Linked DNA regions of Struthio camelus. The protein of the gene in region 1 binds, or shares a complex with, the protein of each later gene. Links are inferred from orthologs where the notes say so. Each region holds a gene or a part of one and is shown in the gene's direction. Other genes may lie near its edges. The genes, in order: STRN, STRIP1, PDCD10 and STRIP2.

Region 1 (7,395 bases):
ATCTACGGCATCTAAGGATCTTCATGAGTTTGCACTTCAGAATCTAATGCACATTGGTCCACTTTACCCACATGCTTTCAAGACAGTAATGGGAGCTGCTCCCGAATTAAAAACACGTCTGGAAACTGCAGTCCGAGCAAGTCAGGCCAGCAAAGCAAAAGCAGCTGCTAGGCAACCACCACCCACAGTACATTCCACCCCAACAATTAAACTTAAAACTAGCTTTTTTTGAATTACTTGTATTATTTTTGGACCATTAAATAGTCAGAAGCATTACATTATTCCTGATGTGTTACTGCATATGTCTGTAATTTTGTGTAATTTGTATGTGAAAGGCTATCTAATGGAGCTTGTGTAATTATTTGAAATCCATGCATTACAAGGGAAGTGGTGTTGCTAGTATTTGTATAGATTTTTAAGAAATTGAATGTGATCATATTTATGAATTTGTGTTATAAATATCCACCACCAAAAAGTATTCTCTATCTTACTAAATTGTTTTATTTATTTTTTTAAAGCTACCCTGAACCTTTTTGAGTGGTTTTTGAAATCTAGCAAATGTTATCCTACCACTGTGCCAACAGGCTAACACAGTGGAGGGAGGAGAACCTGTTATGCAGTACTTACTGTATATCACGGGGAATTTCAAGTGTAGAAGTATGCACTTTTTCCCTTTAAAAACAAACTAGGGTAAGGGCTTGTCATACCTAGTAGATCACTTCAGCTTGCATGAAAAAAAAAAAAAAAAAAGAATTGAAAGTTTTTAGTCTTTTTCAAGCATGTTCTTATAGTGAAATGTCCTTATTTATGTGGTGTATCTCTTTCTTTCAGGTCCATTTCCATGCTTGAACATTAATAAAGGGTTCAAAGAATCTTATTCCCTATCTCTTCTAAGATAAATTTTTAAAAAGCACATTGGAAATTGAGGTTGTGAAGGGGACTGCCTGCTATCTGCATTTCAGTAGCTATAGTTGCCATGGGTTAGCAGTCTTTCTGTTCTGCCAGACGCTAGTTAAATATGGTGGTTCTCTTTGCCTGGATTCCCAGATATTTGCTTTTTCCTGCAATTTTTAGTCTCATTGGCTTTCTCTAATCTCCAGTCCTTGATAAAGTTTGCAGAACCAAATGACTTGACTCCTTTGCATCCTTACTGAAAATAGAGAAGCAGAACACAAGTGTGAGCCAGGTAACTCCAATTCTTTCTTCCATTGCCAAGATTTTCTTTCTGGAAAAGCACTTGGCTCTCCTCACATGTGAGTGAGTTTGGTTGATTTGGGGATTTTGGAGCTTAAGCGAGAGCTCAAGTGCTGTGTTAACCTTACAACACAGAGCCAGTGGCTCCCATTTGGTCATGTCTGTCTTCTGCCAGACCTCACCCTTCCTGTTGGCAGAAGTATAGAACCATGTATTTTCTTGTGTATACAAGACCTAATATACAGAGATTTTTTTGGACACTGTTGTCAAATTTCTAGACTGCCACAGGGATCTTTTTATGCATCTTTGTTTTATAGTGACAGGCCATGTAACTAGAAGCCTAGGATAGGACTGTATGGTACAGTTAAGTTTCATCTCTGATGTTTTTCTGCTACGTGTATAGCAGGGTTCTGTAAAAACTCTGTATGCTTCAGAAGTTTCTACTTCAACCCAAATACAGCAAACAGATAGTAATTAGAATTGGCCGAAATATTTGTCGATGATCATTTTTGTGTAGTCACTTGCCTCTAAGTCTCGTTTCCCACAAGAGCTTTATATTGCCCTTTGGGTACTTATGCAAAGAAAAGCTTTTATTTCACAGCAAATCTTCTAGTACTAACATGAGGTCAACACTGGTGGAAACTCTAATCTCTCAAATAGTTTTCATAAACATGCGAATCTTAACTCTCTAGTCTTGTTCCACTGTCCTACTGGACTAAAGATACATGCAGCAGCAAAAATAGTATGCGGTACGCAAGAAGGAAAGCAATTTCAATATTCACTTTTCTTCTCTGTAGTGGGAATTGATTAAAATGTATTAGTTGCTAATAACTGTTTCAAAAAAAACATTACCAACCTGTTTTGCTGAGCAGTTCCAAACCTGTTTAATGTTTGAGAGAAAGTGCAGTTGAAGTATCAGGGGAACTCTTTCTAGATATAAAGTTGACCACAAAGATTTTTGCAAATTAAAATGGAAAAAATAACCTCATAACTTTTCTTAGATGTTTTTTCCCTAAGTAGTCTAGTAATTGGTAACTCTTGAATGTTTGTTGTAGACTTTTTGTCTATGTCTATGACTTCAGCTTTATTTACCTTAATTTTGTGTCCCAGCACTATCATGTTCTGGTTTGACTCTAGTTTACAAGATGGCTGAAAATTTAGTGGTGGGGGGTGGAGGGAGGGAGAAAGGGAGTAAATATACCAATCAAGCATAACTAAGAAGCCTGTAGAAACGTAGTAAAAATGTTAGTGGAAGGGAAAACAGGGCTAGATAGATGTAGAGGGGTAGTGGAGAGAGGTTTTCTTTTTTTGTGTACTGTCACACAGTATACAAAGTGCTCAACTTTCATTTGCATTCAGGCGTCTCAGGTTTCTAGCCTGCATTTGCTTTTGTTGCTCTGGATACTAAAAATATAACTGTGTGGTTTTGCATAATATTTTGGCATAAAACTTCATTTGATTTAAAAAAAAAAAAAAAAAAAAAGTGAAATGCCTGTAGTGCTTTTTGTTCTTCCTTCTCTTTTGTCCCCTTCCTTTTAATGTTTTTCTTTGTTGATGGGCTTTTTAGTCTGTTTTTTTCATGAAGCTAATTCTCTATTTCCCCTTGAAGTCTTTCCTCTTCTCTCTCCACTATTTCCTTCCTTTCTTAATGAGCCTTGTTGTTCTACCCTGCTTCTCTACTAAGTTTCCCCCAGACTGCATTCCCTGTTCTGTGCTTTCTGTGATGACTTCTAGTCTCTTGATTTTTTTTTTTTCTTTCCCTAGGCTTCATTAATTATTTTTCTTTTCTTCTGCCTAAAAATGCAAAGGGATCATCCTCAAGACACAATTGTTATTTTGGAGGGCCAGGTTAAGAAGCGGGCAAGTATGATTTCAGAGCAGCTAGAAAGAGGAAGTGCTGCTTGAGTAAGCAGAGAAGCACTCCTGGGCGTGCAGGGTGCAGCGAAGGGTGCTGGGGCTCTTTCTCAGCACCTCACGCACTGCTATCACATGAGCGTGTCTGGGTACATCGTGGCTCTGTAGTCAGTGATCCTATTACATGCAGCATTCTCAGTGGCCTCGTTTGATCTTTTACACACATTTATGTTCAAGTGGAGAAGACAGAGTGGTTGCTAGTGCTTAACCCAGCAGTAAAGCCTTTTTGGTAGTGTTGCATTTTGTCTCTCTTTAGCAAGCCTCTTGTGTTAGTATCTATGTGGCATGGAAAGCAAGCTTGACTCTGAATCTTCTTGCATCCTTGGGAGAGGTGTGAGAGAGCAGTGCCTCTGACAGCTGCAGTCATGAAGGATGCTCACTTTTCCTTGCAGACTTCCTCCCCCTCCCCCCCCCCTTAACCCAGGGCTTTGCTACTGGTTTCAGAAGTTTGTTTTTTCTCTTTCCTCTCAGTTAAGGCAGTGTAGTAATTCCCCCAAAAATGTTCTTGTCCTCTTTTTCATTAATCTTAAGGTTTTCAAGAAATCACTGTAGTCCTGGGATGGATTTATAGTTTTCAGTATTTTGGACAGAGCAATTCTCTAGAACATAGCCAAAAAAAGGAAGGATCAAAGACAGGAGTTGAAATTGCAGGATTTGGCAGAACTTTTGTGGCGCTGCTGCGCCAAGGCATCACCGCGCTGCGGACTGAGCGGGGGCGCGCCAGATGCCTGTCCTTTACACCCCCGGGCTGGGCCGCTAGTATGCCAAAGCCCTTGAAATCCTCCTTGGCGAGGGAGCTGCTCGTTAGTCCGTGGAGGAGGGCCTTGCGCCCTCCCTGCTCCTCGCAGCCCTCCGTCCCTCTCCCTGCAGCGGCCTTGCAGGGCAGGGGCCGAGGGGAGCCGGCCGGGGGGCGCGGGGGCCTCAGGGCTCCGCGCCCTTTGCTGTTGGGATCAGGCCGCGCGGGGGGGGGGGGGGATTTCCACCCGCTCCGTTCGAGGCTTACTGCTCTCTGACGCTTCAGGGGGATGGGACTCCCTTCCTATAAGGTCATTCCTCGAAATGAGGGCAGCGCGGAGGAGGAAAAGGACGTTTCCCCCCCGCTCCGCTTCGCAGAGCGCCCCGCCGCCCGGCGGAACTACACTTCCCAGAATGCTGCGGGCCGGGCCGGAGCGAATCGCTCTCTGGAATTGTCCCCGCCGGGCCCCGGTAGCAGCCGGCGGGGGCGGCTGTCAGGCGGTGACGGCGGGCGGGACGCGCCCAGGTTGTTGCTGCTGCTGCTGCCGGGACGCGGCTGGGTGCGGGCGGCGGCGGCGGGGAGCGAGGCGGACCCGACCCGACCCGGCCCGGCCATGGACGAGCAAGCGGGGCCCGGCGTTTTCTTCAGCAACAACAACAACAACAACGCGCTGCTCCTGCCGCCGCCGACCGGCGGGCCGGGGCTGGAGCCCGGCGAGGCGGCGGCGGCGGCAGCAGCGGCGGCGGCGGGAGGCGGCGGCGGGGTGCCTCCCACCGGGGCCGGGGCCGCCGCGCCGGTGTCGGCGTCCCGGGCTCAATACAGCGTGCCGGGCATCCTGCATTTCCTGCAGCACGAGTGGGGCCGCTTCGAGGCGGAGCGCGCCGAGTGGGAGGCGGAGCGGGCGGAGCTGCAGGTAACACCCGCGACCTCCTCCCCCTGCCCCAAACCCCGCGGCTGCGCCTCGCCTCCCCCCCACCGGGAGCGACCCCCACCCCTCCTCCCCGCCGGGCCCAACGCGGCCCCTGCCTGCACCGGGCCGGGCCGAGCCGGGCCGCCCCGCGCGGAGGGGCGCGACATGGCGGCGGCGGCCGCTGCCGGGCTGCGCGGGGCGCCTGTGGGGCTGGTCTGGGCCCCCCCGCGGCCTGCGCCGGCGGCGAGGGTCGAGCTGCTGGGGCCCCCACACGGCTGAGCGGTCTGCCGGCGGCGGCGGGGCGGGAGGCCGCGGGGTTGCGGGCCTTCCCCTGCCGCCCGAGGGGGCTGCTGGGCAGAGCGCGCCCATAAATCCCCCTTCCTTTGTGGGGCGGCTCGTGGTCCCCTCCTCTTCCTCCTCCTCCCCCCCCCGCCCCCCCAGCTGGGGCACCGGCCACCTGTTTCGTAACCCGCTGTTCAAAACCAGCGCGGCCGGGCACGTCGCGGGGGGGGGGGGGGGGGTAAAAAGCCACCGGGCGGTTGTGCTCGTTAGTACGTTAAAGGCTTTAATAGTGATCTTGTGGTTAAACAACTCGTGAAGTGCTGGCCTAGAGCCACCGCTGTCAGATACTTCAGTGATGAGTGCGCTGTATTAACTCTAATAACAGCGGAGAATACAACCTTTGTTGTTGTTATTCTTTAGCTTCGTTGACAAGAAAGTCTCTGTTACAAATCTGAACTCTGTCCGCACCACCAGTAGCCCGCTGTTTGCTTCTCAGTGGCCCGTGTTTGAGCTGAAAAGTGTCTGCTCAGCTTCCTTTTTAGCTCTCCCTTCTTTGTCTTCTACTTCCTGTCCGTCCCTTTTCTTTCTATTTCTTTCCTTGAAAGTCCTGTCTTTGTCAACACTGTCTTTCGCCTGTATAGCAATGCAAACCACTCCTCTCTTTTTTTAGTTAGTGGGAGAGTTGCCTTTTTAATAGTGCTTTTTGTAGTAAAGTAAACAAAATCGCTGTGAGAAGAATGGTAGACGTGACAGCCTTCGTTGGGGGATCTCTTGTTGGAACTTCAAGGAAGTGGTCATGAGGGCAAGAGGGAGATGCAGTACTTATGGTAACCTGAATGATTCAGTGAAGAATCTGTTAGTAACTGAATCAGGTTTCTAGTCAGTATAATGAATACTATGTAGAAGGTTACTAATTTAGTATGTGTATTTGGAACATCAGCTGTCACGTATCTGCTGGAGTCTGATAAGTAAGCATCTTGATAGTTTTTCATAGCTGATACAGATGTCTCAAACTGCTTTGGAGAAAAAACCTGTTTTACGGGATCTGAGAAATTCTGCCAGTGCTTGAATAGCAAAAGCACGATGCATATTTATAATGCCTCTCAACAGGGGCCTCCCATGCTCCTAGTACCCTTCAGAAGCTTTGAAAGTATTATGGATGAAATAGGAGGCAGGTTTAAACCATTTGCCGGAGCTGTGTATTGTCAGTGGCAGACTGGGAATATAACCCAATTACAAGTCATTTGCTTGAACTCCTTTGGCTTCTGCCGGAACATCTCAATAAAGTTGTAATTAGCTGTGATTGGCATTACCATAAGCTGTAACAGCATTTATCTGCTGCAGAGTCATGTTCAGAAAGGTGCAGAATTCTTGGCTGTCTCTATAGGCATCGGCTATAGATGTTATGTCTACTGTGACCATTTACAATTGAACGTTCTTTGATTCATGTGGGAGGTTTGTGTTAGGGGTTCAACGGCACTACTAGGATGGCGTTTGGAAATTGCGTATGCATAACTGAATGATGAGCAGTATTAATTAAAAACAGATTCCACACTCCTGAAGCCTTTTGTTGGCCTATATATTTGGAAGTGTTTAACTGAATAATGGAAATCTGAGGTCATGCAGTTTCTCTCTCTTGAGATAAAGATACAATGCTCCTGATTGTACTTTATTAGTCTTCCACCCAATCTAAATTTAAATGTTAAATTATCTACTCTCTTGGGAGATTGTGTGGCAGAGATTCTATTGTGTATGGTGTTCTTAGTATCCCATAAAGTTTATCTCTCATTCATCTTGTTTCTTAGAGGTAGTCCTTTTATCCTCACTTTCCTACCTACTATGGTATTTTAATACTTTAGATGTTGTATGCCACAGGGTTACCATGTTTGGCTTCTGCTCTGTAGTCATTGGTTGGTTGAGCTATGCTCTTACTGAGAAACACCTTGAAAATCAATTCCACAGTGATTACCTAGCTTCCTTTTTTCCCCCCTTCAGGCTTCTCTTGTTTATCTGTCTCTCTCCCCCCTTCCCTCCCTCCCTCCCTCCCTCTCTCCTTTTTTTTTTTTTTTTGTAGTTAGTTGCGTGAAATTAAATGTGATATTGAGGAATACCTTTCTTTTGCATTATGTGATGCTTATGCAGGTGACACCTTTTCCTCGAGTTTCAAACAGTATGTAAGCTGATGTGTCAGACAGCTTGCTTTCTGTTCTTGCTTATTGGTTTACTGCTGTTTTTTCAATAACTTGATACCTCCTATCGAGTGCCTATATTTTGCTTTCCTTGGCAAATATCCGTGTTTGTTCTGATTTTCTGATTATTTTTCTTGAATCTTTGTTAATTATTCTTGCCTCTATTATAT
Region 2 (6,976 bases), on another chromosome or scaffold:
GGGAATTTGCTTTTCCCCGTACTTGCCCATTCAAAGAGATGGGAACGAGGTGGTGTTTTGGGCCTGGCACTTGGGGGGCGATGCAATTTTACTTCTGCGGAAGGAGTGGCCGTGGTTTTTAGAGCAAGGCTGTTAGCTTAAAATGAACAATCTCTTCCTTTCCACATGACGCGGCAGCCTTACGGTGTAGGAGAATTAGAGCCGCTCCCTTTCTTCCATTCTCATGTTCTGGTTTTACTCCAAGCGCTAAGCCCAGATGCTGCAAACAGGCTGGGTGATGTCTCATTTTCAATCCTTCTGGTCCTCTCCCAGCAGCAGTCGGATCATGGAGATCCAGAGAAGGATGTACCTTAGATAAAAATGTTTCCTTCAGGAGATTTTGGAAATGTTGCCCCTTCCCTCAGACTCGCAAACCCTTAGCATTGCCTTTCCTCCTTATCTCCACTGCCGTGAGCTGTTGCGGGTGCTCAGTGCTCCCCTGGCTGGTGGCTGTCCATGAGCTGTCCCCTGTGATCTCTGCAGGCTCTGGCTCTGATTGAGCTTTACAACGCTCCCGAGGGCCGTTACAAGCAAGACGTCTACTTGCTGCCGAAGAAGATGGGTGAGTGAAGGAAGCTATCTGCTCGGCAGCCAGAACTGGGTTTCGGGACTGACTTGTCCTCCCTGGGCTGCTGTGGGGCCAACAATTTTGGATGTAAGGAAAAATTCAAATCTGGGCTGGACAAAACTTCCAGAGGATGGGTTCAAGGAAACCAGCATCCTTGAAACACTTGCTGGTTGTTCAATCTGTTTTCCTTAATGGCTGCATCTTGACAGGTAGCCCTTCTCCTGAAAATTTCCTGGTTAGATAGTTTACATGCAACCTTTGTGCCTTTCGGTGTATATCCAGCCCTTCTCAGTGCTGTGGTGTAGGCTTAGCTCTGTTTTAGGGTTATGTCACAGTGAATCCATGATGCTAAACGGCAGGGACTGCCTAGCTGGACCCTATTTTAGTTCCCTGTCTTTGTGTGCATTTGCAGTGGGGTGCCCTGGCCACGTGGCGAGTCCACGCCTCGGCTTCCCCAGCGCCAGGGCAGGGGGGAACTTGCGCCCTCCTGATCCCCACTTACCTCTCCTCCTTCCAGACGAATACGTCGCCAGCTTGCACCTGCCTTCGTTTGACGCCCACCTGACAGAACTGACGGACGATCAAGCAAAATACCTGGGACTCAACAAAAACGGGCCTTTCAAACCCAACTACTATAGGTCAGTGCCGGGTTGGCAGTGCTGTCAGGGCAAGGAGCTGCGGAGGCTGGTGGCTCCTCACCCAGCGGGTGCTGCTGGCTGTTGGGGACATCTCGTGCATTGGGGCAGCCTCGGTTCCCGGGGGCTGAGTGACCCCTTTGCAAATCGCAGCTGGGCTGCTGGGGACGTGCCGGCTCTGTCCCCAAGCACCCTCACTGTCCCCCCACTTCTCTTCCAGATACTGATGGACCATATCCATGAAGGACCAGACCACACAAGGCAACATTAGAGAGATTATTTTTAAAGATCATTTTATTTTAGTTTATTTTTTTTTAACCAACAAAGAAACCTGTTTTTATGTTTCTTTTATCAGTGTGATTTTAAGGCCACATTTTTTCCTCTGCTTCACCTTTTCACGTGATCACATCTCTGTCTGATCTTGGCAGACAGCCTGGGATTCGCTTCCTGCTTTGATGTGGCTGAAGCCACCGGTGGCTCTCAGCCCTCGCTCCCAGAAAGAGGTTTCCGTTCCTGGCATGTGAAGGGCGATTCATTCCTGCAGTTGTTGTTGTTATTATTATTTTTTGACCTTTCCAGCCCGCATTAGTCTCAGTTGGGATACCTGCAGATACGGAGATGCTGTTCTACCTTATCTTAGTTTCTTTCTTTGTGTGGATTATCTGCAACTTCTAAATTGCCTTAAAGAGCCCAGTTTTAGCTGCTAGATCAATGCTCCTAAAGCTGCTTGGGAGCAGAGTGGCACCTGCTGGCCACCTCGCGAATAGGTGACTGTCCCCAGCTCAGCCAGGGGCCTGGCACAGAGAGGGCCGGTGACCTGAGTTGGGTGTCTGGCTGGGTAGGGTCCAGGGTGCTAATCTGAATTCGGACGGGGGTCGCTTACCCAGCATTATCCTCATCTCTCCTAAGTTTGTTTTTTTTTTTTTAGTCAAACTGCACCTTAATTGAGTTAGAAACGTTTCGTTTCCCCCCCCCCCTCTTTTTTCTTTCTTAGAGATGTTTTAAAGCAGGGGAAGCAATGGAGATGGTGAGGTGATGCCCCCAGTTGGGGAGCTGCCTCTCCCACCTGGAAGCGCGGAGGTGCTTTTTGAGGGTTTTTTTTTTTTTTTGAGGGGGGGGAGGTTCGCTTTGCTTTTGAGACGGACGCAGAGATGAGCCTTTTCCCCGCGCTGTCCCCTTGGCCCCGTTGGCGCCGTAACCCGCCTGGGTAATGGCGCAGCTCGCCGTGCCCCAGCCGGGTCCGCGGACCGTTGCGCCAAGCGCTTGGCTCCCCTGCGCCGCCCCGGGCCTCGAGCTGGGCTTTCTCGGCCAGCCTCGCCGCTGCCCCGCGGCGCCTTTCCGCTGCTCCTGTCGCCTCTTTCGTCCCTTCCGCAGGTCTCGCTGGTGACGGCCGTTTCTCTTTTTCCATCTCTTTCAGCTTGTCCCGGGGGGCCGGGGTGGGGGGGAAAGTCCTTGCAACCCAGTGAGGTTTCTCTTTCCTTTTCCTCTCCCCCTCGCTCCATGGCTCTCTGCTCCCCCCCCCCCGCAGCACGGAGACCCCCCGGCTCCGGCGTTTTGCTTGTCCGAGGGGGCTCGTTCCCCCGCCGCGTGCCCTGCCGGCGTCTCCCGGTACCGAGATGTTTGAGATGCCGTGGCGCGGTGAGCCCGGCCCTCGGGGCCCCTCCTGGTGCCGCCCTGGGCTGCGCTTGCTCGGTGGCCACGCTGGTTCCCCGCCGGAGCCCAAAACTCCCTTTTTCTCTTGGCCGGGACTGGAGAAAGATGTAAGCGAGGGTTGTTCGTGGCTTCGATCTCCCTCTGTCCTCCCCTCCCCGTCCTTCTCCTTTGACTTCTTCCTCCCTGCTGTCTCTCGCCCTGGGCTGGTGCCGGGCCGCTCCGTCTCCCCTGCGCCCCGTTTCGGGGAGCGCTAACCTCGCGGGTCCGGGCGGCCCCCCTCGGCCTCCGCGGGGGGCTCGGCCCGCCGGCTGCCCCCCAGCCCGGCGGCCACGTGCCCCCTCGGCGGCCCTGGCCACGCGTAAGCCATGTCGCCCAGGGCAGCTGGGATCGGCGGCGGCGGGCTGGGAGGGAGAGGTTTATTTTGTATATGAATGATTTTTAATGAATGCAATATTAATCCTTGCAGATGAGCAATAAATCATTAAAGTCTAATTAAACTATTAGGAAAACAATTCTCTCGTGCTGTGCGCATCTTCTTTGGAAAGAGCGAGCCAGCGGGGCAGTTTCAGTGGGGTACTGGGTCACATTTGAGCCCCCCCAGCACCTCCAGGCCCCTCAGTTTGGGGTTTGAGCCCCTCTGAGCCCTCCCAGGCCTCTTGATTTGGGGTTTAATTCCCTCACCCCACTCCCTCTATTGCGGTTTGAGCCCCTTTATTTGGGGTCTGAGCCCCCCATGGCCCTTGATCTGGGGTTTCCCCCTGTCGAGGCCCCTCTGCTGTCTCCCAGGCCCCTCGTTTTGGGATCGGGTCCCCTCCAACCCCCCCCAATGGAGCCTCTTCCTCCTTGCTCCAGGTCCGCAGCTCTTCCCCTTCCTGCCACTCCCAACATGGCGGCCTCAACGCGTCGGGCGACGCCTCCCTGGGCTGCGGCAGGGAGGAAGTGCCACTCCCAGCATGGCCGCGGTCACCTATGTGCCACACCTAACATGGCTACCGGGGAGGGGCGGGGCTCGGCGCTTGGGGCCGGGCGGAGGGCGGGGCTCCGCCGTGACGCGCGGCGCCGTGACGCGGCCGGGAGGAGCCCGGCGCCACTCCCAACATGGCGGCGGCCCTGCCCCGGCTCTCCCTGCCGCTCCCGCGAGAAGGGGGGGTGAGTCCTCGCGAGAGCTCGGCGCGGCGCGCGGCCGAGGGCGGCGGACATGGAGCCGGGCGGCGGCGGCGGTGGTGGCGGCGGCGGCGGTGGGGGGGGGCCGGGCGCGGGGCCGCCGCCGCCGCTCCCCGGCAACAACAAGGCCCGCGGCGGGGCGGCGGCGGCGGCGGCGCCGGGCAAGGCCCGCGACCTGGGCCGCCCCCCGCGCAAGGACTCCGAGGTCAGCGCCGCGGCCCGGTCCCGGCGAGCCCCGGGCCGCGGCGTGTGGGGCTGGGCGGCCTGGGCCGCGCCCGAGCGGAGCCGGTTGGGGGGCGGCGGCGGCTCCTCCCGAGCTCGGCGGGGGGACGAGGACGGCGCCGCTCGGCGGGGCGCCGGCTCCTCGTGAGGCGGCTCCCCCCGGGCCGGGGGTGCCCCTGGAGGCAGGTGGCGCCGCGGCGACCCTCGGGCCTTAGGGGCCCTGCGGGGCTCGCACCCGGCTAGAGCTGGTTCTGGTTTTTCCCCCTCTCGGCCCTGCCAGCCCGGGATGGCGACTTTTATTTTCTTATAAAACCCTCCGACCTGGTTCCTTTCCCAGGGAGGCTCCAACCGCTTGACGCCAGGTCCGGACGGCGCGTCCCCTTCCAGGGGCGCTGGCGCTGCCTTTGCGACTTGGCCCGCTGCGGCGGAGAGGCTGCTCTGATACCCTTTCCCCCCCTCCCGCGGTCCGTTGGTCCCTGGCCTGCCAGCGCCTGGGTCCTCGTGCGTGGGCGCTGTCCCCCGAAAGCGCTCGTGCCTGGGTGCAGCTCAGCGGTGGTGGCCGCTTTCCCCGGCGGCGCGGGAGGCCTGCCAGCGCCGGGGCGCCGTGCATCAGGATAGGGCCACCAGGTCTCCCCGAGGCTCCCGAGTCGCTTCCAGCCCTTGCAGGGTGACTCAGCCCGTCACCTGCGACCCCGCTGGCAAGTGAGCGAGCTGCCGGTTGAATCCGCCCCTCGCGCGGGAGCAGATGCCGCAAGAAGCACGAGAGTTGCACTGTGGGTCCGTGCTGATGACTTGCTTAACGGAAACAGATGTTTTGTTCCTGTGAGGCAACTGCTTCTTGCTCCTGGCTCAGTGTTTTCCCAACCTCACTAAAGCTGCCTGAGGTTGCTTCCCTCACTATTCAAATTCTCTTGGCATTTCTCCCTTGCCAGCTGGCTCCGTACTGGGGTGGTAGCCCAGATTTTCGTGCTGGCCCGTGTCTGTAGAAAACAGGCGAGCTTTGAGAGCGCCCCATTTCCATCTGACCTGCTCCCCTCCCGAGATTAAACGTGCCCCGTCTCCTGGTTTATGTTTTGGCCTTTTCCTTTGGAGTCCTGAGGTGTTTTACAGGTGGTGCAGTGGCAGAAACACAGCCTGGCTGAATGCGGCTGTTGGCTACCAACAGCAAGGCTAGGGAGAAGGCACGAATCGAGATGCAGGAGGTGGTTTAGGGGTTGCCTTGGTAACGTTTAAGCTGCCGCTGGTAAATTTTGGATCTCTTAAACTGAAAATACAGTCCTGGACTTGCAGCAGGGTGAGGTGCATTGTGAATGTCTTAGGGATTCTTGCTTTCCTGAAAAATTCTTTAATTTAACTGAATTTTCATTTTACTTTTAGGGTTATTCGGAGTCCCCAGATCTGGAGTTTGAATATGCAGATACCGATAAATGGGCAGCAGAGCTCTCTGGTAAGGGAATTGTCCTGATGGATCGATGAATCAGTCATGATTTCTTTCTTGGTAGCAATTAAAGGAACTCTGTCAATGCCACTATGACTTTGTTGATGTCTTTAAACGCCTCCTTTATGTTAAAAGGGATGTGATGTCATGTAATTAATTCTTTGCCGTATCCTGGGTTTGCGTTTTGCATTTCTCTCATCTTGGTTACAATGGCAGTTAACTTGGCCGGGCTGCTGCTTTCTCTGACAGCTTGGTTGCAGGTTGTTGGAGAAAGAGACCTTTCTTCAGGTTCTTGAAACGGCATCTTTTCTTTGAAAAGGCTAATCTCAAGCTTGACGGACGCTGCAGCTGCATTACTCTGGTGTGAAACACTGCCTAGAAATCGTCTAGCAGTGAAAGCACATAAATCAAAAAAAGAAAAGGTAGAAACGACTGTTTTAGTGTTTAGTAGCAGTTAGCCGTGCCTGGGTAGCCAAGGTTGGCTGCCCAGGCTCTGCCCTGTGGTTTCCCTGCTGTGTCCTGGCTGGTGTCTGCACATAGCTCCCTGAGAGCATGTTGGGAGAAACCTGACTGATTTCTCCGTGCTTCCTTGGCAGAGCTGTATAGCTACACTGAAGGGCCTGAGTTCCAGCTCAATCGCAAGTGCTTTGAGGAAGACTTTAGGATCCATGGTGAGAACCTTCTCTTGTACTTCTCCCCACTTTGGGCAGGAATCTCCTGGAGGAGATGTGCCAGGATAGATGCATTACTACTGCATCAGAAAGCAGGATCCAGGCACTGACGGTCTTCACGTGGTTTGTATTTGAGACTTGGTTGATGTGCGTTGGCTGGGCCCTGGAACGCAGCTTGCTGCATCTGGCTTGTTCAGCAGTCGCTTGTATTAATGTCCTAGATGGTTCATTAATGCTACAGTGGCTGTGCTGGAAAATCCAGGCAGCAGCAAGAGCAGCCAGCTCGTTTTCTATCAGCTGCTGGGTGTCGCTGATGTCTGAGTGCTGCTAAAGCCAGTTCGGATGGGTGTGATTTATCTAGTTGTGTGATGGAAGGCAGGAGACGTCCCTCTGCCCAGACTGCACATACCTTATTTGCAGCCTCTCATGAGCACCTTGTTCAGTGGGGCAGTCCTACTTTCCCTCGTTGTGCATGCTTTGAGTTTTTCTTGTAATGTTTATGTCCAGTAAAGATAGAGGGGCTGTACGTGCCCTCAGCCTGGCTGCCTTGGCTTTTCAGTGCGGGACAAGAGATGGACTGAGCTGG
Region 3 (7,449 bases), on another chromosome or scaffold:
TAAACACTGACCATAGGACAGAGGTACTTGATAATAATTCATATTCACTAGGTATTTTATAAAGACAGAATAATATATTGCCTACACAGAACATGGACTCTTAGAAATTACTTTAAAAGGTGTTCAACCATGTCAAAAGTACATCTTCATAGATGAAGAGCAACCACAGAGCAAACTTGAAATTGAGAAAAAACAAGAAAGTAATTTTCCAGCAACCTATCTAAAGAGCCAAGACTAGCTAGATTTTAGATCTTAATGTGAAAAATGCTACTAGCACTAACTGTTCTCCATTACGTTCTGCAAGACAACAATAGAAGTGGAATTAAGCTACATGTAAGCCCATGACATTTGTATCTATAGAATAAATTTAGAAAAAGGCTGCAATGCTTTAACATTCACTTTTTTAATAAGTCAGCTGACCAAAAAAAAACCAAAACCAAAATAAAAAACCCCAAAGCATGCTTAACAACTTAGCGCACTTCACAGCTCAGAGGTGTGTTAATCCCAGTCATTTCTGGAATCAATCTTTTCATGTGAGCCAGCAGTGTTGTAGCTAAAGCATTTAATAGCCCAGGCACACAAGACTGTGTAGATTAAAAAAGTAGGTAAGTAGCTGGGTGGTGACTTCAAGAATACTGATTTAAAATAAAACAAATAAACTAAACCATCTTGAACTGACTACAGAATGTGAAAACATAGGATGAAGAGACTGTGTGGTCAAGATAACTTTTGGAACTCATGTCTGCATTTAACATAACCTTAACACTGCCACAGACCTTCCCCTTGTGTTCTCCTAGCTGCTTCATGTAATTCCACAGACAAGTGTTAGATCTGTCTTAAACTAGAGGCCCTTAGAGTCAAAACATGTTGAGAACCTCTCCAAATTACAATTCAAAACCAGCCACAGAGGAAGTTTATCCAGTCCCTTGCTTACAGATTCATATACTTGCAATATGAGATTGCTCTGATTGAGCAAAAAACAGATTATAGTGCTCATCAGTTATGTAAGTAGGCCCTTTCCCCTGCAGATATTAAAACAATTGAAAATAAAGAATATAGATTCTATTTTACTCTTGATAATCATTCACCTAACTAGTCCTGAATAGCTTTCCATTCACAGACAGAACTCACTTATCACATGGCAAAGGTAAGATAACCCTTACGGTTTCTTTTTTTTCTCTTAAAAGGAAGATTTGGGTTGCCTTCTGCCTTCCTTACTTCTGTAAGACACATATGCTTGCTATACCTAACTACTCATTACTGAAAATACCCATATATTTGTTATCCAAATCTGATAACCAAAGGTAACATCAAACAAGGGAGATCTTTCTGGGCTTTTATCAGAGAAAAATGATTCAAAAGATTAAACAGCATCTTTCCATCATTACCCTTGCTGTACAGGGGGATTTGAGATCTCTAGTGCACACCCATGCATTTTACAATGCAGCAGAAATTTAAAGACTTCTTCTTGCTGTATCTTTTGATTTTAGGTTTCTTTTAATTCCAATTCTCTCTCTTCCCCCCATCCAACACCATTGAAACCAAACCAAGAAGAGGCAGAAAAAGAACCCACTCCTTCCTAAGCATAAGCAATTGTTTCAAACTTACTTGCTCTCCCCGCTAAGTCTTGAGAGCCCTACTTTCAGCTTTCCATCAAAACACGCAATTCATCTTTTACGCTTTGCCAACTTCAAATTCCCTTTTGGGAGGATATGAAGAAAATAACTTGGAAAAATGTGGTATTCTTAACTTCATCTTGTGTTATGCAAATATTTGTTAGCTACATGTCTTTCTCAAGTTCAGTTACACAGGTGATACTCAAACTACCTTGAATTTTTTTTTCATGAACATTTAGCTACGTAATTTTTTTTCTCCTGTTATTTTCCCCACATGGGTTAGAAAGAACAGAATGAAGAAAGCTGAGCCTTAGGTAAACTACACAGATTTTCAAATATCTAAAAAAGCTATACCCTAGACCATAGAAGTACCAATCTGTTGTGGGGTAAACGTATCTTAAAACTTGCATTATTAAGGTAAGGGATTATTTAATACAATATCTAACCCTAAAGGGGTTAGGTAAAAGGGTAAAACCTCCCTTAAAGAAAAAGGGTAACAACAACCATTCCTTCTCTCTCCCTCGCATCCTAGAGGGTAACTCCTCATCACACTCAAGCAAGCTTACAGCTACAACAGTTCTGAAAATCGTGAAGGAAATGAAAATAGTGAAGTATAAATCTGGTCTAAGACCTCCCTGCTTAAAAAAAATACAGAACTTAGGAAATATAGCTGATAGAGGGAGAGAGATAGTTTAGAATATTCTATTTTAGAAGCTTTGTGGCTTTATTTTAAAACACTGATTTCACAGAAAAGATAAAATGCCATAGACAAGCATAGACAGCATAAAATGCCATAGACAAGCATAAAATGCCATAGACAAGCATAAAATGCCATAGACAAGCATAAAATGCCATAGACAAGCATGTACCTCAATCTATAAGATGACATTTTGGTAAAGTTTCTCATCTAAGCAGGGTGGCATAGTTTTTCATCAAACTAAAGTACTGGTCCTTTCAAAACTGGTAAGATAAAAGACTTGGTGTATCAAAGATAAGAGGCAATTAATGAAACATTTCAAGCATATCATGCAAGTTACAGGACTGATCCTTTAACAGCCAGATATATTAAATATTTGACACACTGATCATACATAGATCTGATTACAACAAGAACTGGTGGGGAAAAGGGAAAAAATTTGTACACACAAGGAAGTGCAATAATCCAGGTGTCCTTCTAAGTGTTCTTGCTTACCTATGTGAAGCGTGTTTTGAATTGTTAACATATGTGGGTATATGTGCATGATATGTACGTTCAGAAAGACAGATGTCAGAAGTCTTCCCACTTTGCCATTTCACTGCTACTAGGAGTCACAGATAATGCTTCTTAAGTTTAATCAGTTGCATACTCATTCACCTGCTTGCATCAGAATTTGGGCCTTGTTAATATTAGGCCACGCTAGCCAGTAATTTAAAAAAAAAGTTTTTGTCCTGACGTATGCAAAATGCAGATACAAACCTAAAACTGAATTACACACTTCAACAATATTAAATTCATTTTAAATACAATTAAAAATTCAAGTCTAAAGCTTTTCAGTAACACAGCTGTTTCTAGCAAATAACGTGCAAGTTTATTTAAATTTCTTAATGGACAAAAAATGAAATACTCTGTATATGGCAGGTATATATACTATGTATATGTTTTATGAGCACTGAAATGCTTTACAATGTTGTTATAAGTAAAAGGGAGGATACCATAAGATAAAGCTGGAACTTCTGCTTTTAGACAAAAAGGATTATTCACAGTCACAAAGTTCATAACAAACAGAGTCATGGGTCAAACGGTCAGGGCACGCAAGCATTTTAACTGAGAAGGGAAAGAGTAGCTGCTGTAAATATCCGTATAAAAGTTTACCCAAAATCTTCATGCGTAATTGGACCTTCCTGGGGACTAGGAGATGGCCAGGTAATTCATTAAAATATATCTTCCAATCTTTTTCCCTGTGATTTCCGACGAAAGGAAAAACCCGTGCCTCAAAGGAGGGAAGCCCGTCAGGACAGGGCTTCAGAAGTACAGCTCTATTCGGGCAGCTACCAGAAGAGCCGCACAGACCTGTACTCTATCACCCCCTCCGGCACGAACGAGTTTTTAAGTACTGCTGCAGCACTTAACCACAGAATCACTGGGAGACAAAGCGCCCGTACCACAATAAAGACGCTGCGAAGGGGAGCTGAGCGTCTCCTCAGAGGCGCGGTTCTCGCCTCCGCCGAGGAGAGCGGACGCGCTCCCGGGCGCCACAGGCGGGTGCAGACGCGCACAACGGATGACTTAACAGCAGCAGGTTTTATATCTATTCCCCCGCCCCCCCCGCACCCCTTTCTCTAACTTCTCCTGCCGGCGGGGAAACACCTTCCTCCCTCACCGCCTCCGTCCCTGCCGCGGCGGGAGGGAAGGCGGCGCGCGATGCCTCCCCTCAGGCGCTAACGGACGGGCTCGCGCGGGGAGCGCCGCTCCCCGCGGCCGTTACCGCCACCGAGCGACGGCGGCGGAGAGCTTCCCACAACCTACGGGACGAAACCACGCTGAGGAAACCTCCCTCCCCAAGCGCTGGCAGGGAAGGGACGAGCACACTCACCGCCCCCGGTACTGCTGCTGCTGCCGCCACAGCCATCCAACCGACACGCCCCCGCCCGCTCACCTGCCAGCGCACCCGCCGCTCCGCCGCGGGCAGTGTCCGCCGCGCCTCGGACACCGCCTGGATATTCTTCCCTACCCCACCCCGCCCCGCCCCGCCCCGCAGAAGCTCCGCCCCCTCCTCCCGCCCCGCGCTCCGATTGGGCGCCCCCTCCAACCTACTCCTCCTCCAGGTCTCCGCCCCCCCCTCCCCTCCCCCCGGGCCGAGCGCCGTGTTGCATTGTGGGACGCGTGGTGGCTGGCGGCGGACTACAAATCCCAGGAGCCTGCGCGGCTGCTGGCTAGTTCCGGGCAACGCCTGGTGTGTGGTAACAGCAGCAGACTCTTCCTTCTCGCAGGCACTTCCGGCGCGGCGACGAAGCCCACTCAGGAGCGCTGGGGGCTCGGCGGGGCGGGGGGGGGGACGGTAAGGTGCCGGGTTGCTGTTGGCGCGTGCCCGCGGGGTCTCGCGCGCGCTGCGGGAGGGCCAGGTTTGGGGTCTGTGTGTGTGTGGGGGGGGGGTCGTTAGTGTGTTTGCGTAGGGCCTCGTTCTCCTTTCCAGGCTGCGCTCCGCTAGGAGCGTAAAACGCCTTCGAGCATTGGGGCCTGGCTGAGGGGCGCGGGGGGGGCGGCCGAGCGGCGGGGGCCGCCGGCAGCGCCGCCCTGAGGTGAGCGCGGGGCGGGCGGACGGGCGGGCCTCGCCGTGCGGCGCGGAGTGAGGGAGGCGCCCCCCCTCTCGTCCCTTCCCCTCGCCTCCCCGCCCGGCCGCGGGGGTCTGGCCCGGGCAGGCAGGTGACCGGTTTCCCCTTGGTCTGAGGCCTGGTGCAGGCTCCTACTTCTCGCCGCACTTCCCTCTCCCGCGGCCTTCCAGGGCCCTCCCGTGCTGCGGCGGGAGCCGGAGGGGGGGTGCCCGCCGCCAGCCCCCCCCCCCCCCCGGTCCGGCAGCCGTCTTCGGCAGGACGCCCGGGCCTGGCAGAGGCAGGCCCGGATGTGTATTTTTAGCTCGTCCTAACGCTTGCGAGGAGCATTGTCAGGTGGCTTGGCCCCGCTGCGGAGCGGGAGCGCTCCGGCGGTGCGGGCAGGGTTTCGCTAGGCGGGGGGGGGGGTGGGAGGAAAAGCGTTTCTCTTCCTCCTCCCCCCCCCCCCCAAAAAAAAAAAAACACTGTAAAAGGGGCAGCTCTGCGGCTGCCCTGCTCGAAGCCAAACGTGACCGTGCCCGGCAGCCCGGGCTCAGCTGGCCGGCAGCGCTGTGCGGGGCTGCTGCAACAACAGTCTGGAGGGACAGTGAACGCTGAAGGATCCCTCTAAACTGCTCATTTAACTGGTGACTTGGCTTGGTGCCCGCAGCTTACAGGTGTTGGGGGTGCGGGTAGATGGCTGAAACCTTGGGCCAGGTTTTGTGTTTTTGCTGTATCAGAGGAAGTAGTTGCCTTCTGTTATTCATTTACTTGTTGGAACATGTTTGTGTGTTTGAAAGTGGTTTTGGTTGTATCTAGTTTCTTGGAGTATTTGATAAAAGAGTAGAGACAGAAATATTATGTTTACCTTCAAGTTCCCAAAGGGGAGGTGGGGAAGAGCTTGAAAGAGAAGCTGACATACGTTGTTTCCATTATGTATCCTAAGAGTCGTGACCTGTGTCAGTTATAATATTTTTAATTTAGGTAACTAATGAAATTGGGGTGCAGTCCAGGAGGCTATTCTTGTTCCTCCTGTGGCAAGCACAAAAAGTAGATATGTTAGGAAAACTAAACCATTCTCACTTTGAAGTTCAGCATTGCAGAAGAATGTGAATTAATTGTAAGAGTGATTTCAGAATAAGTTTATATTAAGATTTTTTTTAAAGTTGATCTAGCAGTAGACTAGTTGGGTTTATTGTGAATTGCTTGTGTGACTTCTGAATCACTCATAAGAATCGCGGTAATATAATGCATAAGCAGTTAAACTTGAGTTCACTCTGACAAAGCATAAGTGGCTATAGTGTATTTCAGCGAGTGTTTGGAAACTGCAAATCTCTTCAGTAGAATGTGTTTTAAAGAGCCTTTTAAAACTTGAGTGCTATCTTTTGATGATACTCTTTCTGTTATCTTTTCAGGGAAACTACTGGATATACAAATTAGAATGTGGAACTATTGCAGCAGAGTGCCTTTTTAACTTTCATGTTTTTTCTACTGGTTTTTGGAATACAGAAGTTGTCATCCTAGTTGAACTGTATGTTAATTCCAGTGAATGGTCTGAAAGTGAATGTTGAAACTTAAATTTTGAAATCGCTTCTAATTTTTAAAATCAAGCCTATTGGGCATAATGTTTTGTGCTATTCAATCTCTCTTATATAATTCAGTATTTCTTGGTGTAATATCAGGTTTTTGTAGGTCCCAGACAATACTGGAAAACATACTTGCAACACTAAGCATTTCGGAGGAGGGAGGAGGAAAGATCACAGTGGCAGAAAAGTGAACAAAATGAACTTTAAAAACAGTGCAGAAATACTACACTGAGATTTTTTTCATGTGTTGCTACCACTTTCAGACAGCACAGTGGAGACGATTTGTAATGCTCAGACTTGGCTTTTCAGTCCTCATCCCTCTTCCTGCCCCCAATACACACGTTAACCTTTTTCTCCTTACTTGCCTCATTGCAAGGAAAAAATCTTCACGTTTTTTTCCTTTTTTCCTCCCTTTCTCCAGGTGGCTAGCGTGCTGCACAGGGAATGAAAGTAGAGCTAAAGGTGATGTTTTCTTCAGTGTAAGCCTTTGGTTTCTCTAGTGGTTGCAGTAACTAAAAGTAGAAACCCATGTTTGTCAGCTAGATTCAGCGGTGGGTTTTGGATTTTTTTTTTCCTGTTTGTTTTCAGAGAAGGTGAGGTATTTCTCCGCAATATGTAGAAATAGTTTTTCTTGCTTGCCATTCAGAAAGTTGAAGCCAAGGCCTTCAGAAAGTGAATGACAAGGAATTAACTTCCAAATATCTCAAGCCAGCCAGCCTTACCTTCTTAGTATTCTTATTTAGACAAAGCCTTGTTTGCTTGAAAGATCACCTACTTCAGTGTTTTCTGGCAGTCTTTTTGCAAATGCTTACTGCATCATAAAGTCACTTAAATTTTTGAAAGAAGAAAAGTAGTTCTATATCTTAAGTACAAAGCTTAAAATCTTTGTTCTGTGTGCTTTTAAGTTATACAATGGGAAATGATTACAATCTAATTGAAGTATAGTGCTAGCAGGCAAG
Region 4 (7,665 bases), on another chromosome or scaffold:
CAGTAAATCTCGCCGGCAATTGCCGGGGAAACCTCTCTTAATTCTGCTTGCTGCCCGAGGGACGGGTCTGCCAGCGAGCCAGCGCATTTTGCCTTAGCGCTGCTGAAAGCTGTAACGAAGGGTCCAGTCGTTAGCGAGGGAGATCCCCCAGCGCACGTTAGGAGCCGGTAGGGCAGAGACGTGCCCACGCCAAGGCCGTCCCCGAGCGACACCGCAGGGATGGCGGCGGAGGGCTGAGACCCGCCGACACCCCCTTCTTCAGCAGCTCCGCAGTATTTTCCTGCTGCTTATGTCGAGTGCCAACCTTGGATGAGTCAACCGAAGCTGTCTTCTTCACGGGGCTTTTGCGTGGCGTTTTGTGCCCACGCTCGAAGAGCGGCCTGGCCGCTTGGCTGACAGCGGCTGCTGCTGCTGGCGTTTCGAGGGGGCTCTCCGAAACGCGGCCCCGGCTCGCTGTCCGCGCGCGCCGCCGAAGGAGACAGCGGCGCTGACCACTTTCGAAGGCCAACGTTAACACGAGGTCTTTGCCGAGCTGAGTTTCAGTCCTCGTTGAATCAATGCCTCGTTCCGTAGAAAGACACCTGTGGTAACGGAAACATTTCCCAGCTTCTCACGGGAGCTCTTGGAGTTTTATTTTCTGGTAATACTTGTTTATAACCTAATCAAATCTGGAATTCCCCTTGGACTGTACAAGACGTACCCCCGAACGCTCACCACCCCTGGTTTGGGTGCAGCGATCAGGATCACAAGCAGAGTTCAGCATCGCCTCAATCATGTCAAGTCTTGATGGATTAAGTCAGAGCTGTCAGAGAACAGAGTTGTCGTAGTGACTTGTTTTAGCCCAAGATGTCCTGCCCGAACGCTGCAAACAGCATAGCACGCCTCTCGGGGGAACTTGTGAAGTCTCAGTGTCTCGTCAGAATCACTTCTACGGCTCACGCGGAGAACGTGGTCCTTCTTAAAAAGCGCCGGAGTAGTTTAGGTAGCTCTTAGCGCCCCTGTGCTGGAGACCTGAGCACGTGGACGTCACCTGTGGTCGCTGCGTCAGTACCCGAGTACTGTCGCCACGCGAGAGTCTTGTTTTGTCCTCTCCGACTCCTTTGGCATCATGAGAAGGGGAATTTTTTTGTGGCAGCTTGTTCACGCACAAGAAAGGACAAACTGTGGAGTTACGGCCTCCGCCACCGAGTCTTGATGACGAGATCTGAAGTCAGCTTGTCCAGAGTCCGCTTGTCTTCGGAGCAAGTTTTCTAGTGTGCTTTCTATTCCAATTTTCTCTTTGAAGAGTTTGCAACTTCTCAACTAGCTTAACTAGAAAAGTAAGGGATGCATCAGAGAGTGATCGTTAACCACAAGCTCTAAATAATCTTCACTCACTCGTGAATTTTATTCGGATCGTGAGATTTTTGGGAAGAGTCCACTGAACTATTGTAAACTTCAAGTTTGGACCTGTTTTCTCACCCTGGAATAGCCTAGTCTGCAACAGCCAACAAACCGAGTTTCTTTTGTTATTTGTAGGTTTGTGGTGTGAAATCCTGCTCTCGGTGAAGTCATTCACAGACATCCCCTTGGTCTCTCCGGAGCTGGGATTTCACGCGAAGGCTGTGCTGCCCGAGTGGGCTTTTCCCGTTCTGGGTGAAGCCCCGGGAACTTCTCCACCCATGTAGTTTCGAGGTCTCGGACGTGTTGACTGCACACGTGGAAGGGGTAAAGGGAGAGAGGAGGTTCGCAGCGGAGGTTTTCATCTGCGCGCCAGCCTCGTCAGAGCAGAGCCAGCAGCCGGGACCTGGGGAACGTGCCGCCTCGCGGGAGCACTGCCCTTTCCTGGAACGGGCTCGGAAAGAGAAACGCGTATCCGATACCTCAGCCCGCTCTTTATCCCTTGAGGTTGCCACCGGCCTGTGACCCTGCCTGTTGACCAAGCGCTTGGTCCTTCTGCTCTCTCTGTGCTGAGGCCGGCTCCGGTTATCCCTGTGCTTCCTGGGACCTCCCCAGCCTGGCCAGCGACGCCGGGTCCTGGTCCAGGAGCGAAGCCCAGCCGTTGCCCGCAGCAGCCCGCAAAGAAGGGGCGCCTGCACTAGGGACAGGCGCGTGAAGGACGCCCAGGGTCTGGTCCCGCTCCGAGACCTGCTCCGGTTCCTGCTGCAGCAGGGCCGGGTGGGATCCCGGCGGGGCGACGCTTCCCGTTCCCCTCGGGGGCGGCAGGACGGCGGCAGCCGACGGCCCGACGCAGGGCCGCCGGCAGCTTTCCCTCCGCTTTCCGTGCGATGAAGGCGGCGACGTCGGCCTGTCTTTGATGTCTCGAGTCAGATAGGGAACGCAGGTGCGGGGTCGCGCTGAGCGAGGCAGCCCTTGGCAAAGGGGCTCAGGGACGCAGCGGGATCTGCCCCAGGAAAAGCGCTATCCATCCGTGTGACCCTTCGCTACAGCTCAGACCAGTCGCTTCCCTCCCCTGTGTCTGTCGCTAGTGGAGCATATGGTGGTGCTGTCCTCATCCGTGAATTCGTTCGTGCCGATTTTTTAAGCCCACTTTATCCTCCGGGTAAATAGAAGGGGGGAAAAAAAAAATCGTCCCAAATCTCGATTTTTTTAAAGCTTTTCTCCATGTCGTTCCGCTTTTTCGCTTGCTTGGCTTTTCCTAATCAATCTGGAATCCTATTCTGTGATCATCTCTAAATTAAACGTGTAATGGCTTTTTCTTTCTTTCTTTTTTTTTTTTTTTAATGTAACACATTTTTAAAGAATTAGGAAAAGGAGGTTTAGGTAACACCAGCAAAAATTGTATAAGGAAAATAATTCTGTTCTGAACTTTAGCAACCGTAGGACAAAACCTGTCCAAAAAAAAAAAAAAAAAAAACCCTGCCATAAGGAAATTAAAACTTTGGAACCATAACATTTTCAAAAGGATGTTTTAACTATTAATGTATGAGTGATTGTATTAGATCAGCAATAAAGACTCTGTAATCTCAAAACGCAAATAAAACATCGGAAAGGCGAGTGTCTGCGGCGCGTGCTTGGCGGCGGGGGCCGAGGCCGGCGCTGCGGCCGCCGGCTTTGCCCAGAAGGGAGGCGCAACCTGCCCGGGTTTTTTAAAAAAAAAAGCGGGGGGGGGGGCAGAAACCTGCGGGGGCCCCTGGGCAAAAGCGGGCGGCTTTCCAGCGTCCTGGTGGCTCCTTCCGCCGCCCCCGGGGCCGGGGGCAAGCGGAGGCCGCTGGCTGGGGTTACGGGCAGCTGTTTCGCTCCTGCTCCTGCGCTGCCCTTGGTGAAACCGGGCTGAATCGTGGCTGGGAAAAGCTGTTGCTTTTGCTGCGACGGTCGCCAGCGCCACCCCGGCCTTTCCCCGCCGCCGGACGCATCCTGCCTCGGCGCTGCCGCCTTAGGGGATAAAGGCGAAGGCTGAGAGGCCCCCGGCGCCTCGGAGGGGGCTGGCGGCGCCCTGGCGGGGACAGCGACCGGGGCGCGCTGCCCAAAGGCGTCTCTGCCCCCCCCGGGACCCCCCCAGACCCGCGGTGCCCCGAACCCCCCCGTCTCTGCCCCCCCCGGGACCCCCCCAGACCCGCGGTGCCCCGAACCCCCCCCGTCTCTGCCCCCCCCGGGACCCCCCCAGACCCGCGGTGCCCCGAACCCCCCCCGTCTCTGCCCCCCCCGGGACCCCCCCAGACCCGGGGTGCCCCGAACCCCCCCCGTCTCTGCCCCCCCCCGGGACCCCCCCAGACCCGCGGTGCCCCGAACCCCCCCCCGTCTCTGCCCCCCCGGGACCCCCCCAGACCCGCGGTGCCCCGAACCCCCCACGTCTCTGCCCCCCCCGGAAACACCCCCCAGACCCGCGGTGCCCCGAACCCCCCCCGTCTCCGCCCCCCCCAACCCGCGGTGCCCCGAACCCCCCCCCGTCTCTGCCCCCCCCGGGACCCCCCCAGACCCGCGGTGCCCCGAACCCCCCCCGTCTCTGCCCCCCCCGGGACCCCCCCAGACCCGGGGTGCCCCGAACCCCCCCGTCTCTGCCCCCCCCCGGGACCCCCCCAGACCCGCGGTGCCCCGAACCCCCCCCGTCTCTGCCCCCCCCGGGACCCCCCCAGACCCGCGGTGCCCCGAACCCCCCCCGTCTCCGCCCCCCCCAACCCGCGGTGCCCCGAACCCCCCCCGTCTCTGCCCCCCCCCCCGGAAACACCCCCCCAGACCCGCGGTGCCCCGAAGCCCCCCCCGTCTCCCCCCCCCGGAAACACCCCCCCCAACCCGCGGTGCCCCGAACCTCCCCCCCGTCTCCCCCCACGTCTCCCCCCCCCCCAGACCCGGGATGCCCCTAACCCCCCCCGTCTCTGTCCCCCCCCGGAACCCCCCCCAACCCAGGGTGCCCTGAACCCCCCCGTCTCCCCCCCCAAACCCGCGGTGCCCCGAACCCCCCCCGTCTCCCCCCCCGTCTCCCCCCCCCAAACCCGCGGTGCCCCGAACCCCCCCCCTTGCAGCCCTGCACCCGAAGGACACCCCCCCACACACACACCCGTGTCCCCGCCCCCTCCGAGGCGCGGCCCAATGGCGGCGTGGGGGGTGTGTCCAGCGGCCCCGCCCCCGGGAGGCGGCGGACCAATGGGAGCGGCGGGGGCGGGCCGGGGGCGGGGCGCGGGGAGGCTCGGCCCCCCACGTGCTCGGCGGCGCTGCAGAGGGGCGCAGCGCATGGAGGCGGCGGGCGGCGGCGCGGCCCCGGCCCCGGCCCCGCGGCCCCCCCAGCCCCAGCCCAAGGGCCGGGAGCTCTTCAGGAGCCAGCGGAAGGAGTCCGAGGTAAGGGCGGGGGTGGCCGCTGCTGCGGGCGGGCGGCCCGTCTGGGGCGGGGGGGGCCGGGCAGGGGTAAGGGGGGGGGACAACGAGGAAGCCCGGACGGCGCTTGGGCCGGGCCGCCGTCGGGGCGCGGGGGAGCCCGGCGGGGCCGGTGCCCCCTTTCGCCCGCAGGTCCGCGGGTTTGGCTGGGTTTGGGGTAGAGGCGCGGGGAAGGTGGGTTTTCTGCCGGATCCTTTCCCTGACCCGTTTCCTCGCAGAGGAGCGGGCGCCGGCCCCGACGGGGCGGCAGGCGCAAATATCCCTTTTCGCAGCCGGGAGCGTCCGCGCCGCCTCGGGGAGGCTGTCGCCCGCCCGCAGCGCGGGAGCGGAGGCGTCGCGACGTGGTTCCCGCTGGGTGGTTTCTCCTCCCGCCGCTGCCCCGCTGCTGTGACAGCGGTGCCGTCGGGCGGGCGGCCGAGTCCAGCCTTCCCGCGCCGCGGAGGTGCGAGTTCCCGGCCTTCGGAGGGGTCTCCCCTGCCTACGGCGGGCTCGCGTCCGGCCCCATCCCGCGTGAGGAGCCGGCATCAGGGGCGAACACCGCGAGTGCTTCGAGCCTCGGTGCAAAGCGGCAATGCCAACAAAACGCGCTTTCCACCCTCCTCCGTCATGCTTTAGAGTAACTGTTTGCGTTTCGCCGCTGAGCGCTGGGGAGCCGGGCACGGCGGCTCCCGAAATCCCGGCTGCCTTGGTGCCGCGGGCAAGAAGCGGCTGCGCGCAGAGGGTGTAAAATGCCTCTGCGGCCACCTCAAAGCATCGGGGTTAAGGACAAACTGGGGGAAACGTTGAGTTTTCGGACGTCCCTGGTTTTAGGCTTGATCCGGAGGCGGAGGGGAGAGGGCTGAGCCCCTCCGGGCCGGAGCTGCGCGTCCCCAGCTGCCGTGACCGCTAGTAACGACCATTTGCGCCGGTCCAGCCTGGCTGCCGAAACGGGATTCGGGGGCTCCGAACGGCAAATTAACCTAATTTACCGCGTTATTCATTGGCGTGTTTCCTCCGGCCGCCCGCGGCGCGCTCGGCCCGTCTCCGCCCCGATCCAGCGGAAGAGCTTCGCGCTCCAGTTACTCGCTGGGAGCGCCGCGTTCCCACGGGGCCGGGGCGCGTTTGCGGCCAAAGGGATTTCCTTGCCTGTGGGCTGAAACGGAGCCGCGCGGACAAGCGAAGGGACGGGGTGACGCCACGGGCGGCGGGTGCAGAGGCGTCAAACCGTCCCGGGGAAACCCGCCCGGGGACGCTGCAAGCAGCAAACGGTCACCGGCCGTTTGGGTCCTGCCGCGGCTTTCCCACGCTGCTGATGTGGCTGCTTTTCATGTGTTCTTTCCCAATTCGCGCTGTATTTTGAACAGTCCGAGCGGGCCCTGGAGACCCGTGGTGGTAACGACCATCGTCTATGCATGAGCTCGACGTGGAGGGTGTGGGCTCCCCGCGGACCGCCCCGATCGCCCCCGACGGCCCGGGAGCGGTCGCGTGGCCCCCCGGGGCAGTGTCGTGCCTCTCCGAGCCACGGACACCCCGCAACAGCCTGCGGGATAGGCAGCGCCACGGCGTTTCGCCCCTCTCCCCGCCTCGGCCGCTAACCGAGGATGCTCTCCGCAGGGCTCGGTGGACTGCCCCAACCTGGAGTTTGGGTACGGAGACGCTGACGGCTTCGCCGTGGAGCTATCAGGTACAGAAAGGGGCCGCAGCGGAGGCCGGGGCGCTCGGCCGCGTCTCCGCGCTGCTCGGCTACGCCTGGGTGCCTGCCGGGGCAAGAAATCCCGTGCGGAAGAGGGCGAGCTGGACAGGAGATGGCTCTTGAGTAGGCTTAGGCCTACGTTGATAGGGCTGGTGTCCAAGAAGGGCAGAGGTCGGTTTTATTTTATATTTTTTTCCTGGCTTGATCTGCCCCCAGGCAGCGTTGGCGCCGTTTACCGCGCGGGCGGTCGAACGCTGGGGCAGGCTGCCCAGGCGGGTTGTGGAGCCTCCATCCTTGGAGGTACCTAAAGCCCGACTGGACGCGGTCCTGGGTCCTGTTCACAAAGGGGTTGGACTAGACGGTCTCGAGGTACCTTCCTACCGCGACTCAGTTTTGCACTTCTGTGACACCAAGTCGCAGCCTTGCCTAGAAACCTGCTGAACAAAAAAAAAGCATGTTGTCCTCTTCTCCAGCCAACTAAAGGCTACAATATTCTGGGGTCAAAAATGATCTGGGAAAAAATGAAGGCCATGCAGCTGGCTGGAGGAACAGCCACGTGCCGTGCTGGATAGCGCAGGTTGGCAAGCATCTCCCTTTCCACCCGGCACGCGCATCTACACTGCATCCCGGGAGCATCCGGCCCAAAGCCGCTTCTCCCTGAAACACTCAAACCCGTCGGCCTGAAATCAGGGCAGGTTTCGGCTGGCTGCTCCTGTGGTCCCTGCTGTTGCAAATTGACTTAATAGTGACCAAAAATCACTCCCCCCCCCCCCACACACAAAAACCCTACAAAAGCGTAGCAAATGCAGTGCAAATATCTGTGCTGGCAGCCAGGACCAGGGTGAGGTCCCCTTCCAGACCTGCCTGGAAGTGGTGAAAGGCCAGAAAAAGAAACGGAAGGGAAAAAGGGACGAGAAAATCAGCTAAAGCTGCAGCGAGTTTCAGAGCGATAGCACTAGAGCTTTTCCTTATAACTTAGCAAGAGCTATGGATCCTATTTTGATTTGAATTGATTTCAGTGCCATACAGATCAGGATATCTGTGTCCTCTCCGGGGCAGATGGTGTGAGCCGGGAGACCCGCGGGTCCTCTGCCTCCCTTCCCCCTCCGTGAAATCAGGATGAGAATTAAGCTGAGTTTAGTAGCAACCTCCGGATGCCGCCGTGTCTGGTGGACCTGGGG

The links.
Region 2: STRN (region 1) and STRIP1 share a complex: the UniProt entries of both Homo sapiens proteins name them as parts of the core of STRIPAK complex. The link is inferred for Struthio camelus from reciprocal best matches to the Homo sapiens genes STRN and STRIP1.
Region 3: STRN (region 1) and PDCD10 share a complex: the UniProt entries of both Homo sapiens proteins name them as parts of the core of STRIPAK complex. The link is inferred for Struthio camelus from reciprocal best matches to the Homo sapiens genes STRN and PDCD10.
Region 4: STRN (region 1) and STRIP2 share a complex: the UniProt entries of both Homo sapiens proteins name them as parts of the core of STRIPAK complex. The link is inferred for Struthio camelus from reciprocal best matches to the Homo sapiens genes STRN and STRIP2.

What each region holds. Positions count from the first base shown.
Region 1 is NC_090944.1:102,274,147-102,281,541, reverse strand, and holds the start of STRN (striatin), read left to right. Parts: upstream 1-4,382; 5' UTR 4,383-4,457; coding exon 4,458-4,757; intron 4,758-7,395. Other genes in the region: HEATR5B (HEAT repeat-containing protein 5B), read left to right, coding at 1-232. UniProt on the Homo sapiens protein: Calmodulin-binding scaffolding protein which is the center of the striatin-interacting phosphatase and kinase (STRIPAK) complexes.
Region 2 is NC_090965.1:4,309,889-4,316,864, forward strand, and holds the start of STRIP1 (striatin-interacting protein 1), read left to right. Parts: upstream 1-3,962; 5' UTR 3,963-3,993; coding exon 3,994-4,044; intron 4,045-5,658; coding exon 5,659-5,728; intron 5,729-6,315; coding exon 6,316-6,390; intron 6,391-6,949; coding exon 6,950-6,976. Other genes in the region: AHCYL1 (S-adenosylhomocysteine hydrolase-like protein 1), read left to right, coding at 523-601, 1,125-1,245, 1,463-1,469. UniProt on the Homo sapiens protein: Plays a role in the regulation of cell morphology and cytoskeletal organization. Required in the cortical actin filament dynamics and cell shape. Part of the striatin-interacting phosphatase and kinase (STRIPAK) complexes.
Region 3 is NC_090950.1:28,962,570-28,970,018, forward strand, and holds the start of PDCD10 (programmed cell death protein 10), read left to right. Parts: upstream 1-4,442; 5' UTR 4,443-4,549; exon of another isoform or gene 4,550-4,718; intron 4,719-4,838; exon of another isoform or gene 4,839-5,019; intron 5,020-5,457; exon of another isoform or gene 5,458-5,551; intron 5,552-6,319; exon of another isoform or gene 6,320-6,435; intron 6,436-6,911; exon of another isoform or gene 6,912-6,952; intron 6,953-7,449. Other genes in the region: SERPINI1 (neuroserpin), read right to left, coding at 4,190-4,225. UniProt on the Homo sapiens protein: Promotes cell proliferation. Modulates apoptotic pathways. Increases mitogen-activated protein kinase activity and STK26 activity. Important for cell migration, and for normal structure and assembly of the Golgi complex.
Region 4 is NC_090942.1:1,695,135-1,702,799, forward strand, and holds the start of STRIP2 (striatin-interacting protein 2), read left to right. Parts: upstream 1-4,653; 5' UTR 4,654-4,671; coding exon 4,672-4,776; intron 4,777-6,405; coding exon 6,406-6,475; intron 6,476-7,665. UniProt on the Homo sapiens protein: Plays a role in the regulation of cell morphology and cytoskeletal organization. Required in the control of cell shape. Calmodulin-binding scaffolding protein which is the center of the striatin-interacting phosphatase and kinase (STRIPAK) complexes.